Canis lupus familiaris: one gene and its partner. The protein of the gene in region 1 purifies or fractionates together with the protein of each later gene. This does not show direct contact. Links are inferred from orthologs where the notes say so. Each region holds a gene or a part of one and is shown on either strand. Other genes may lie near its edges.

What was found. Proteins that work in one complex are often made in the same cells at the same time.
Region 2: the proteins of SRRM2 (region 1) and EIF4A3 purify together in Homo sapiens (affinity purification with mass spectrometry; 3 studies listed by BioGRID and IntAct, with this or other methods). This does not show direct contact. The link is inferred for Canis lupus familiaris from reciprocal best matches to the Homo sapiens genes SRRM2 and EIF4A3.

The regions. Positions count from the first base shown.
Region 1 is NC_049227.1:38,735,470-38,742,138, reverse strand, and holds the start of SRRM2 (serine/arginine repetitive matrix protein 2), read right to left. Parts: upstream 4,266-6,669; 5' UTR 4,251-4,265; coding exon 4,214-4,250; intron 2,044-4,213; coding exon 1,764-2,043; intron 916-1,763; coding exon 808-915; intron 624-807; coding exon 459-623; intron 267-458; coding exon 189-266; intron 1-188. UniProt on the Homo sapiens protein: Required for pre-mRNA splicing as component of the spliceosome. As a component of the minor spliceosome, involved in the splicing of U12-type introns in pre-mRNAs.
Region 2 is NC_049230.1:2,442,476-2,449,144, reverse strand, and holds the start of EIF4A3 (eukaryotic initiation factor 4A-III), read right to left. Parts: upstream 3,758-6,669; 5' UTR 3,699-3,757; coding exon 3,530-3,698; intron 1,810-3,529; coding exon 1,737-1,809; intron 1,150-1,736; coding exon 1,083-1,149; intron 648-1,082; coding exon 585-647; intron 12-584; coding exon 1-11. UniProt on the Homo sapiens protein: ATP-dependent RNA helicase. Involved in pre-mRNA splicing as component of the spliceosome. Core component of the splicing-dependent multiprotein exon junction complex (EJC) deposited at splice junctions on mRNAs.

The sequences.
Region 1 (6,669 bases):
CTCCCTCTGCCTGTGTCTCTGTCTCTCTCTCATGAATAAATAAAATCTTAAAAATAAATAAAGAACAGTAACTCCCTCTTCCTTATCTGACAATTCTTACCTCCTTCCTAAAAGCAAGAACTCCTTATTTCCAGAAAGAAAAACAGAATTTGTTCAATAGCTATTGAGTAACTTTCCAACTAACTTACCGTCCTCTATCTTTCTTCTTTTTTTTCTTCTTTTGCTTTGGGGTTGGTGAGCGAGAACTGCTGGATTCCCGGACAAGGCTGGAGAAAGATAAAGAGTAGTAGAATAAAGACTAAGACATATCTTAGACATTTTAGCTTCAAAACAACAAAATCTGAACAGCTTGATTAAAAAAACAAAAACAAAACCCAACAAAGAAACCCCCACAGAAACAAAAAACAAAGCTTAGAATCAAGAAAAGCAGCTGATGTGGGTTCCTTGGCTTTGAGTACCTATAAGGTTTGGGAGGTTCTGGAGCTGGTTGTTTAGCTTCTCGAGCACGACGTTGAGGATCAAAAGAGCTGCCATCCACATACGAATCACTGATGCCAAAGGCAGCACGGAGTCGCTCATTTTTCTTCTCATTCAGTTCTGCCAACTGGTGAGTCTCAGTTACCCTAAGGGGAAAAAAGGCAAAGCTCAGAAAGAGTTAGCAAAAAACAGTCATAATCACATAACTGTAGGCAGCCAAATGAGACTGGGAAAAGAACATGAGAGCAGGCAGAGAGTACAAAGTAAAAGACGACAACAGAAGCAGCTATTTAGGGTTCTGAGGAAACAAGTAACAATTAAAACACTCACGCTGGCCTCTGTCCTGGGGTCTCTTCCTTGCCCCCAGGGTTCACATCCTTCTCCAGCAACATGAGTCGAAAGGTAGCCACTTTTTCCTGAATTTGCTGTTCCTCGTACCTAAAGAACAAATCCCTTCAAGGTTAAAGCTTGACTAGGCACTTTCCCCAGTCCCAAGTTTATAGTCTCCTCATTCCCAGGAGGATCCCTTTCCTTTCCATGCACACATAAAACTTCACTCACTGTTACCCAAAGGGCCTTTCTCTTAAATCTTGCTATTATCTTTCTTCTCTCTGCTTACTGAAGCCTCTAGAACAGTGGATTTTAAACAAGCTACACTCGAGGGGCCAAAAGAGTAAAGTTAAGCAGAATTCCAGGTGTTCCTCCCCAACTTCAACAGGCTATTTCCTGAGATTCCAAGGTAAGGTACACTGTATAAAAAGGGTGCCACTGCTGAAGTTTGAAAACCACTGCTCTAAAAGGTTTTCTGCCTGATTGTGCTCCAAAATTTCACTTCCCTACCCATCATCCCCTTATCCAGCTATTATTCCAGTTCTTCTTTTCCTGCCTTCGATATTTTCCAAGGCCTCAATCCTTTATATCCGTTTACTTTCCTCTTCTCTACCAATGGCAACACCTGTCAGCTTATACCTTAGCTCTTCTCTTGCCTGACACCTGCTTTCCCACCTCTCCCCTTAAAGTACATTTTTGTTTCTCAATGGCTCCCCCCTTTCCCCAAGGACCTTCACCTAAATAATTCAGACTCCCTCAGGCTTCCTCTTGTCGCAGTTACCTCATCTCCCACTTTGAGCTGTCCCTTAACTCCTTTCCACTTGCTAGCTCCTTAACCTCCTCCCCTCCTACAACTCCTCTCCAAGTCTCTTCAACCAGCCCTAAGTGCTCTACATCCCACCTAATTCCCCCAGCTCTGCACTCAGTGCTTGGCTCTCCCCCAGCCCTCCCCTCACCCCTGCTCTTCCATCATCTCTTCCAGCTCGAGGCATCGCAGCTCCACGCGCCGCTTGCGCTCGTGGTCCAGGATGTCAGGATTAGGCCGCTTCACCAGGGCAGCCTCCAGGCGCCGCAGTTCCTCCTCTCCCTTGTAGTCAGGCCGCTCACCCCGGCGGCCCCGCACCAGGGACAGGTTGCGCTGGACGTAGCCGTTGGTGCCGCTGCCCCGGGGCGTCGGCAGCCCGATCCCGTTGTACATGGCCCCGTGCCCGGGGGGAGGGGGGGGCACCACCGCTCCTGAAGGGGAGCGGGGAAACACGGGTCAGGGCCCTGACCCCAAACTAACCACCACCCAAATCCCTGTTCTCCTTCATCCCTATTTCAACATGAATCTCCACATTACACCTCCTTTAGCTGCATAATCCTCCTGGTCTCCTAACAAAAACCCTTCCTTACCTTTCCTATACTTTCCATTGAATGACATCTACGCTTACAGCCCTTTCCCCCCAAAATGCGAGAACTATTTCCATTTGTTTGCACCTAAATGTTCTTTTCCACCCTTAAAAAAAAAAAAAAAAAAAAAAAAAGAAACCTATTTCTCCCAAATTTCTCCACACTACCTCTTTATTCTCCTTTGGCCCCAATAAGCACAAGTGACGTCTCCACCAACCAATCTAATCCCAAACATCTGTTAACTGACTAGGATCTCCCAACACGGCACAACCACCACCATGGATCTGTGTCACCTAAAGGCCCACAGTCCAAGTTCAAAGGTTCTTCTAAAAACTGACCTGAAAACTTCAGACTACCCCGATACAAAAACAAAACCTACATATTTGAACTGTGGACTAATTGGTTCCAACATAAACCAAGTGTCCTGTGCAACCTCACACTCAAGAATAAAAGCCAGCACGCCTATCATAAACATATGATTCCTGAATACAGAATCCTCTTCTTCTTTACCTCCCAAGAGACCATTTCCTTGTTTCCAAATATTATAAGCTCCTATTACCAACCCCACCTAATAACTTATTCCTTTAATTTCCTTCCCAATAGGATTTCTTACATGATCTGCAGCTCACCCAAGTCTCGTTAGCTTTTACACATCATCTGTTCTCAACTCAATGCTCTGAACACATCAAATCAGCCTCCTCTGCTCCAACTACCCTGTACTCTCTACGTCCCTTGCCCTCAACTTATTCAGAAGCCCCCTCACACTTTATACCCATCTTCACTAACCTCAAACTGTCAGCTTTCCCTGGCAATCCTCTGTATCTGACTTCCTAGAGTTTCTCCTCCAGCCCTGTCTTATCCCTTTCATGTTATCTCCATGCCTCCTACCAAGTTCTATTTTCTCAACCTGTTCCAAAGAACCCTCAAACCCCCATTCTTCTGGTTAGATCGCTTAGTTACGCATACTCTATTTATTTTCCCTATTATGTATACTTTATTTCTTCCCTCATCTTATCCTGTCGAAGACAGCTTCACAGAGCGTAAATGAGGGAAAATTACCCCAAGAATAAAACCCAAAAAATAAGTAAAATTAGTTAAAGAGATAAAAATGGATAAAAGACTTATTTTTAAAATTCTAAAATTTTTTTAAAAAGTATACAAACACCTGGAAAAATATACTAAAACAAAAACATAAGTATGGGGAGACAACGAATGGAAGAAAAATTGCCGAATTCCAGAACTGCTTGTACCTCTATCCCCAAACTCTAAAGGCTGGATCCCTGCCCAATCCCATTAGCAGATCCAAGAAAGCTTGGGGGGGGGGGGGGGGGGGGGGCTTGGAAAAAAAAAAAAAGGCCTAAGGTAAAGGAGACAAAGCTAAACCTAGGAAAGGCAAGTAAATATGCACAAAAAATTGAAAAATCTCCTTACAGCACAAATCACTTTCTCTACCTTCCAATCTTCACTTCATTTTCTCAAATCCCAATCCTCCCTACTCTAAACCTAGGTCTCTTTCTCTAAACCCCACCTAATTTCTGCCTCCCATAAAGAACGCTTCTGACATGCAATTAATTCTTCAGCTTAACCATTCACCCACACTTCCATACCACCTCACACAAAAATCCTCCCACTCCATTAGGAGAAAAAACCAGTAGCTGCTGAGAAAAGAGTATTAAAACACAACGAATTGTAGAACTTTTAGAGAACAAGCCCCCCCCCCAATCCCACAGCTTCAGAGGCAGTCCTCAAAACACTAAAAGGAAGAACCTAAGGGGAACGTCAACACAGAGAAATAACCAAAAAAAGTAACTTTGTAATAAAACAGGCATTCTTAACTGGAGTCCACAGACTGGGAAAGCACAAAAGTTACTCAAGCTAAAGTCAGAGTAAAAATAAGCTGCAAAGCAAGACAACAGAGAATTTCTTTTGTTGGGAAATTTATCACAATGCCAAACTAACAAAGCGTTAGAAAGCAACCTGGAAATTCAATACTAAGATACTGAAGACAACGCACCAAAAACAAGGAGGTAGACGTGCAGGAAAATGGACATAGGTAAGCGCGGAGAGGGGGCATTTCGGTGGCTCGGAGGACACTATGGAACCCAGAAAGTTTGAAATATTAGTTCAAGAAGAAAACCTAATAGCACACACTTAAAACACAACACTGTCTCCGAATTTCTGGTCCAGACGACATCTTAGATAAGCGTGAGTGGAAATGAAGCCTCCGAGAGTTGGGTGCCAAATAATGCCTGAAACGGCGCCCAGCGATTCCTTCCCAAGGAAGGGCTCCAACGGCCTCCTCGGCTTTAACACAACTTTTGAGAAGACGATTATAGAGTGGAAAAATGAAAAAAAGAATTAAGAGAGACCCAGACTGCCTTTACGTACCTGGGCTGAACACGTCTTAAAAAAAAAAAAAAAAAAAAAAAGGTGGGGGGAGCAAGGTTTGCAGCGCCCCTCTGCCTAGCGCTTCGGGGCCCGACGCGCGGACACCTCGTCCCGGGCCTCCCAGCAGCGGCCGGGCTGCCGAGGCCTATTTTCGGCCTTGAGGCATGGGGGAGGGGGCTGCGCGGCGCCCGGGAGTCTGGGCGGCTCTGCGCCGGACCGCAAGCCCGCAGGAGGGCCCGGAGGCCGGAGGGGCTCGGGGGAAGCGATCGGGGAACTGGCCCCCGCCGCCGCCTCCCCACCGACAAAATGTCGGAAGGGGCAGCCGCGGGAGGGCCTCCTCGGCCGCACGCGTGGGGGAGGCGAGAAGCCGAGGCGCGCGCTCCCCACCTCCCCGCCGCGAGCGCGCGCGAACCCGAGAGCAGTCGGCGGCGCGAGCCGTTGCCATGGGGGAGGGGAGGGCAGTAAAAGCCCGCGCGCGACGGGAACCGAACGCAGCCGAGGGGGGGAGGGGAGGCAGGCGAGCGAGAGCGTCCGCACGAGCTAGGAGCGGCGAGCGCGCGTGCGCGCGGCGGCCTGGACCGTTCTCCGCGCGCTTTGGCCTCGCGCCGGGGGCCGCCGCCCCTCCCCCACCCGGCTCGCGCGCTCCCTCACCCTCTCACCCGCCGCCGCCTCCGCCCGCCGCCTCCGAGGGGGAGAGGTGTTGCCGCCGCTGCCGCTGCTTAAGCTCCCGAGTCCCTCGGGGCCTGGAGCTGCCGCCTCGCCTCGCCGGTCCGCCTGCCTGCCTCAGCCGAGACCGACGCCTCCTCGCTTCCTCAGGGGCCGCAGCGGGTTCCGACTGCGCCACTCGCACCCCGCCTGGGCCGCGCTGCACGTCAGCACGACCAACTAAGCGCGTCAGCACGCACCCGCGCGCGCGGCGCAGGGCCCGTCGGGAACCGTAGTACGCCCTGCGGCATTGTGCGCAGGCGCCGAAGCCACACCGGGAACTGTAGTTTCTTAAGGCCCGAGGGAGGGTCAACTCCACAGCCAAGGAACTACAAATCCCTTTAGCCAGTGCGACGAAGGGCGGGCGAGCGGCCCGAAACGGGCCACGTATTCCAGAGCGTTTCCGCCGGGAGCGGGGCGGGGCACAGGGCCTAAGCGCCACATCGAGGGTCGCTAGCGCGCTCCCCGCCCTCCCACTTTCGACGCAGAGCACTGTGGGAGTTGTAGGTCGTGCGTGCCGCGGGACCCGTATGTGGCTTCGCCAGGGACACGGCCGCCATTTTATCTCCCCATGTTTGGAGTTGATGGTGCGAGCCCAGCGACATAGCTGCTCCCGCGTGAGCGCGGGCTTCGCGGGGCGTTCCCGCGGCCGCGTCGCCCTCGGCCTTCAGCCCCCGAGAGAAGCCCCCGCAGCCCCCAGGCAGCGGGCACGCCCCTAGCTTCCAAGCCCGGCGTCAGGCGCAGGGCAGGGCCTGAGCCGAAGGCCGCGGCAGCTGCGTAGGCCTGGACCACCCGCAGGCCGCTGCACCCGGCGCTGAGCCGGCCCGTACCGGTGGCTCTGGCTGAGGAGGCCGGTGGCCAGGCCGCGCTCTCCTCCGGAACCTGGACAGGCTCTCCGGGCACGGCGGAAATGTCACAAACACTCTTGGTTGCTCACCTCGCACGGGAGGGCGGGTCTCCCGTTACCGACTTAAAGTCCGTTTCTCCAGCCGCTGTCTCCAAGCAGAGCGGACAGGCGCCAGGCTCCGCCGACCTTGGGCTCGCCCTTGGCGGTGCCCGGGGTCATGACCTCTGGTGCCCCGCAGGCAGCGGCAGGCCCTTAGCCTTCGGGGCCTTGTGCTGGCTGTTCACAGATTTCTTCTTTAACCTGCCCCCGGGGCTCAGGGGCTGGACCGGGACCGCGAGCGGGACCCTCCCGGGACCCAGGGGACCGTGTGCACCTGAGCTGGGGTTTCTGGAGTGCAGGGTGCGGTGAGACTCTCTTCCCAGGGATGATCCTTGTAATTACCCAATGTTTTTGTGCGGTGTTTTTTTTTTTTTTTTTTAAGATTTAATTTATTTATTCATGAGAGACAGAGAAGCAGAGACACAAGCAGA
Region 2 (6,669 bases), on another chromosome or scaffold:
GCGAGCAGACCCTGAATTAAAACAAGGGTCACGTCTGGGGCCTCACCTCAGGACCAAAGTCAGAGACCTCCAAGTTTCCCCAAAGTGAAGGTAATCTCTACTCCGACATACCAAGTACTACTTATTCCATCGTTTACACCATAAAACTACAAAAAGACCCAACCTCCTGCTTCCATGCCAAAATAAAGTTCACTTTACTGGTTTCTTATGAAAGAAATACATTTTAATTACAAAAAGCCCTGGAAATACGTAAAACTCATAATTTTAGCCACTCACAAACAATTCTAACAACATCTTAATATAAAGTACAAAAATAACTACTAAAATGATTTCTTTGTTGAAAAAAACTACAATTCTGAGACTGCAAAAAGATACTGGAATCATACCAGCTACACTAAAAATGACTCAGTAAAAATGACTCAGTATAAACCAACAACATAAATCATAACAATGATTTATGCCAAAAATCAGGAAGTAAAATTTGAGGGAAAAAAACAGGATTAGATTAAATCAACCAGCCAACCTTTTACACCTGAATCAGAAAGCAGCACTTGGGAATACAGCACTAACTCTCAGTGGCTCACCTTCTGGATCTGCACAGCTAATTCTCTCGTTGGAGCCAAGATCAAAGCCTGGGTTTCACGAACCTGGTAAAATAATTTGTCAGAAAACAGAGAATCCTCAGTATTCTCAAGGCAGACTGCACGAAGTCAGATGCAGATCTATCTTGAATGTTACATCGCATTAACCATACATCTCATTTCTAATAGAGACAAAGGAACCTGAATGTAAGTTCATGTGTGAACCCAGTCATCATGGGGTTCACTGGGCAGAATTCTTGCTTGGCCACTAAAAGAATGCCCACTAAAAATGTCTCTCTCCATTTAGCTGACAAGGAACTTAGGACAGAGTATTAGTTAGCTCTCCTATTAGTGTGTAATTAAGAATATCATGAAAAATTTGAGTCAGTACAACTAAGTACACATTTTTAAAAACCGTCCTTTTCAGACACTGCAGTTACAAAAGAAACAAAAGTATTTCCAAGGATTAAAGATAAGTTCATTTGAAGACTGGCAAATTACCTGAATATCCAAACACTGGAGGACAGAAATGCTGAAGGTGGCAGTTTTGCCTGTGCCAGATTGTGATCTGTTCAAGAAAACACAGGTAGAGGTGAAAAAGGATGGGCTATGTGTTCCCACTCACCTCACCCCACCACAGCAGTGCTCCAAAGGACAGCTGCAGGACAGCTGCAGAACAGCGGCTTCCTCCTCCACTGCCCGGGGTGGGGTCACGAGCAATAAGGTAAGATCAGGAGGATGCAACTTCTGCACTAGGGGAGTCGGAGCCGCAGGATCTATAACCCTGACGGGTGTTACAGACTCCAAAAAAAGAGGCTCCCTTTTATAGAAATGTAATTCTCTTCTGCAATTTTGGACTATAACCGTCCTCCAAAAATAATTTTTCTTGTAAAGAAGTCTTTAAAATTAACACAAATCAGGAATAAAGCCATTAAGAGAGTATGCTAAACCATTCTGCATGCCAGCTGCTAGGTAAGTGAAGCTGGCTAAGAATATGACAGCTTTCTAAAGGACACAAAAACAAAAAACAAGACACCGTGGCTCAAGCTGAGGAAAGGGCTACTGACACATATGTGGAAAGGGAGAACAGGGGTCCCCTCAAAGCGCTGTACTCAGCTGACAAGCACCTAACCCCATTCTCTACCGGTGACGTACTGAGCAATGACGTCTCTCCCTTTAATTATCTGCTTGATGGCTCGCTGCTGGATGGCTGATGGTTTCTCAAAACCTGTAAAAAGAAAGCGAAAGTTCTAACATGAGGACACTGGCAGCTCCTTGGGACACAGATGGTATCTTTTTTTAAGCCCCCACGTCCACCCCTCTTAGCGCAAAGTCCAACACACCAAAGCTCAAGAAACAGCTGCTGAATGAATTGGGTTGAACTGTATTTTTACACTAACACAGATCTTATGTGCACAGACAAAATCTCTATAAAAGGAACATTGCAGAACGCAGAGACCCCAGTTAGATTACAAAACAAAAAACAAAAAAACACCCAAATGTTAATGGTGGTGCTCCTGAGAATGGATGGGAAAGGCTCATCTTTTACTTCAATTCCTCCTGCACTGCGTACGTTACGATAGCCTGCGCTGCTCTTTTAACATTTCCATTACTTTTTATGCTACAAGAAAGAAAAATGAATCCAGTGGCACCGTGGCCGCCCCCTCTTTCCTCTCTGCATCAGCTCTACACGCTGTCTGTGCTGTCTGCCACAGCAATGACTCTACGGCTCGGGCCGTTCCGCGGAGTGCCCGCTGCGCTCCTTCCACTTGTGATGCAGCTTCACCAGCTACGACATCACTCTAGAACGAGGCTACTTGGAGAGGGTAAAAAAAACATTTCCCAAGTAAACAAAAGCTCACGTGCATAAAATATATCTTAGTTACTCTTCGGTAGCCTTTTAAAACTCAGCCCGGACTTCCCGTCTAAAGTTAAAACTGTAACACGGATGATTTAAAAAACCCTCACAGCGACCATCCAAGCAAGCACACAGGCGGGGAAACTAAAAACAGTGTTTTGGGCAGGGCTGCCGGGGAGGCTGAGAGGTGGGTAGGACCATCAGCCTCACCTCCGCTTTGTCACCTCCCATCCCCTCTCTGCTTTACACCTGGTAACTAACACCAGGGACTGTTGGGTAAAGGGAGTTCCAGGCCCAGGCGTCAGCACAGAGGCTGATCGCCCCGGTCTGGACCCCCAACACGGTCTCTCCCCAGGCTCCCGGCACCTGCAGCCGGGTGGCTCACAGGCCCCTGAGACTCCCCTGCCTCCGAGGGCTCCCCACATGAGCAATCGCCAGCAGCACCCACCGGCTGCTCACAACGCCCGGGGAATCCTCAACCCCTCCCCGGCTCAACGTCATCACCTCCCCTGCCTCACCTCTCATGCCCCTTCTAGCGCACGGACTCAGAGGGTGCAGACCCCAGCGTTGCCACTCCCCTTGCTTCAAACCCCATGGCTTCCCTCTGCACTTAGGAACAAAATGCGAGCTGTTCTTCAGCTCACAGAGCGCTGGGCGAGATCCGGCCCTGCCTGCCGCTCCCGAGTAGCCCCTGGGCTCCCACCACGGAGCGCTTCCTCCTGGCCCTGGAGAGCACCCCGCTCCGTGCTGCGGGCTACTGGCACCGGCTGCTCCGTCGTGCCAGGGGCTCCTCGGGGCAGACCCGGGCTCACAGGTCAACCCCCCGGGAGCCCCCACCCGCCCCCTCGCAGCCATCACCAGCGCCCGAAGCATCCCGGCTCCCCGAAGTACCCGGAGCTCCCTCGGGGCCCAGGCAGCGCGGGCCCGGCCCCTGCCCGTCATCCGCGGCGGCAGCGCCCCCCAAGCGCCCGGGGACGACCCGCCGAACCCCCGACACCCACGCAGGCCGAGCGCAGGGTGCCCGGCGGGGGTCGCCCTCCACCCCGGGCCGCGCCCTCGCCCTCCCCGCCCGCGCCCCGCGGCCCCCGACCGTAGGCGTAGATGCCGCGCAGCAGGTCCTCCCGCAGGCCCATGGTGTCGAACGTGGGCGTCACGTCCACCTCCTCGCTGGTCTCGAACTCCACTTTGGTCATGTCTTCCTCTTTGAGCAGCCGCTTCCGCGCCGAGCCCGAGGTCGCCATCGTGGCCACGGCCGCCATGATCCCGCGTCGGCTGAGAGCGGAGCGCGCGCCGCGGAGGAAAGCGGAAGCAGGGCCCCGCGCCGCCGGCGCCAGGAACTGACGTCACCGCGCGCGTGCGCACGAGCGTGCGTCGGGACCCTGAGCCGCTCTCCGCGTGAGAGGGGCGGGGGCTGCTACTGCTCTCGCGAGGTCTAAGCTGCCGCGGGATCTCGCTAGGGGCGGGGCTCCGCCCAGGCCCTATAAATACGGCCGAAGCGGCGGGGATCGCGTATTGCGCGGGTTGTCTGCAACGGGGCTGGTGGCCCAGGGGAGCTCCGCGGAGCCCACAGCCCCTCCGCACCCTCCTCCCGCCGAGGCCTGAGGCCCGAGGCCCGGGCAGAGGGCGCCCGCTCGCCGCGACAGGTGCAGCGCGAACTTGCAAAGCGTCGCTGCTGCGCTGCACCTGCAGCTCCCGGGCTCCTGCGCGCTGCAGGGGAGCCCGCGCTGCTGACCTCGGGGCGCGGGAGCCAGTCTCGCGTCTGAGCCCAGACGTCCCCGAGAGCCCCTCCTGGACCAGCGTCACCCCCTGACCTGGCTCCGACCTGCGCCGCTGCAGGCGGGGAGTCGCGCGCGCCCCTTCCCTTGGTGAGGACTTCACTCCCTGTCTCACCGTTGGCGTGGCTCCCATCACTGGGCCTTTCATCCTCGGCGTCCTTCCGGGGCTGTTTGAGTGCTCCTCTGTTGTGAAGGTGCATTTACTTAAAAGTGGATAATTGGGACGCCTGGTGGCTCAGCAGCTGAACGGCTGCTCTTGGCTCAGGTCGTGACCTCGGGGTCCTGCAACCCTGCATCAGGTTGCGCACAGGGAGCCTGCTTCTCCTGCTGCCTGTGTCTCTGCCTCTCTCTCTGTGTCTCTCATGAATAAATAAATAAAATCTTTAATGAAAAAAAGCGGATAATCGTTTCATCCACTAAACCAGACATGCGTAGAGTTCAGTGGGTTACAATTCATTGGCAGGGAACAAGTAAACGAGGGCTACCTGCCTGCAGAAGCTCTGGCCTTAAGGGCCCAACATATTCAATCCCTATGGGATGGTTCATCTGATGAACACACCTGAAGAGAATGCTGGTGTTAGTCGAATTTAAATATTTCTAAACCTGACTTTCTTAGACTCTAAAATAAAACGTGAGTTGTTACATCTTCTTACTCCATGAAGCATCATCCCAAAGCCCTCGGGATGCCCTCTCTGAGGTTGCACACAGTTTTGGCAAGCTGTGGTCTAGGGCTGGGTTGTAAAGTACACGTGGGTTTCAGGGTGAAAGTATGTAAAATACCTGGTGAATGACCTTTATGTTGTCTGTAGACTGAAATGACAATATTTTACATATACTGAGTCACATAAAATATGTGATTTCAGTTCATTGCACCTATGTTTAAAATACGGCTACCAGGGCAGCCCCAGTGGCACAGCAGTTTAGCACCGCCTGGGCCCGGGGCGTGATCCTGGAGACCCGGGATCGAGTTCCACGTCAGGCTCCCTGCGTGGAGCCCGCTTCTCCCTCTGCCTGTGTCTCTGCCTCTCTCTCTCTCTTTCTCTGTGTCTCTCTGATAAATAAATAAAATTTTAAAAATAAAATATGGCTACCAGAATGTTTTAATTACACTGTATATGATACTCCTGTGGGACAGCACTGCTCTAGGTACTGAGCATGGAAAATAACCTTGCCATGAGTAGGAGAAAGATTAGTGACTTTACAAGTTGTGACATCAGTGAGAGAAAAAACCCTTGCGTTCCTACTAAGTGAGAAGAGGACAGCTGCCTCTTTGCACTTGTTCAGAGGTTTTTCATCTTACCATCCACCGAGGTTTGTCTTTGGCCTTCACACTTCTACGCCATTTCCCTGCAATGTGCCTTCGCTGTGTTTGAACACACATCTCAAATGCCTCTTCCTTTTGTTTGGGGCCAATAACTTTATAACATTTTAGGCCAGAGCCCATGAAAAGGACGAGAACTTCGTCAGGTGTCGTCTCTCCTGAACCGCGCTCACCGGGAATAAGGGGGAGCAAGGTAGACTTGGGTGTTTGTCCTTGGGGTTAGTCTAATAGGGTGGGATGACACCCTCCCCCAAAATACAGTGTGCGAAGTGAGTTGCAGGACACAGCAGAGGCTGCACACGAGCATAACAGGCGGGTCCCCCTTGGGGACCACGAGGCCTCTGGGATGGTAAGGAGGGTGAGTCCACTCTAGGGAGCTTGGAGCTAGAAGTGGGTTCAAGAGATCACAGCAGAGCCGTGTTTTTATTATGTAGGACAGATGCCCCCTGGCAGTTGCAGTCCAGAGAGAGTCCCTCTCAGGAGAGGTTTTCTGCTCCAGTGCTGCGCCAGTTTTCACAGAGCCTATGCAACAGGCACCAAAGGGTCAGTAGGATCTGAAACGCATCTTGCTTCATCTCCCGTAAGAAGTGTCATCTAGTCAGCTGTGTACTGGGAACATGCTTTAGTTACTTGCACTATTTGTTAACATATTTGCTCCCCGTAACCGTGTAATGTTGAGCAGAAGCATCTACTTACAGCGCAAGACCTGACAGCCTGGCTTGCCTGTTGGTACCCAATTCCACTGCTTGGACATCCAGATTAATGTTTCCCTTCCTTCAGAAACCCCAATCACAATTCCAGCTAGAAGGTACAGGCTAGAAGAGGGCCCCACTCTGAGTCCCCTAAGAAATGGATTTAGATGGCTCATCAGCCCCAGGGGCCTGATCCCAGGACTTTAGGTCACCACAGGGGACCCACCCATTCCTTTTGGGTGCAATACCTCCTCTGTCTCCTGCATCTGACCCCCACACCCTTTCTATCTGGGGGAGGGAGGTTACCAGATTAGACTAATTGCAGGGAGGGTAGGGCCCCAGGTCTGTTGCCTCCCCATCGCCGTCCGAGTGCACCATAGATGTGCCTGGATGTGTAGAGCAAGAGGGCGGGAGGGACGCAGATGGATCTGGCTGTTGAGAT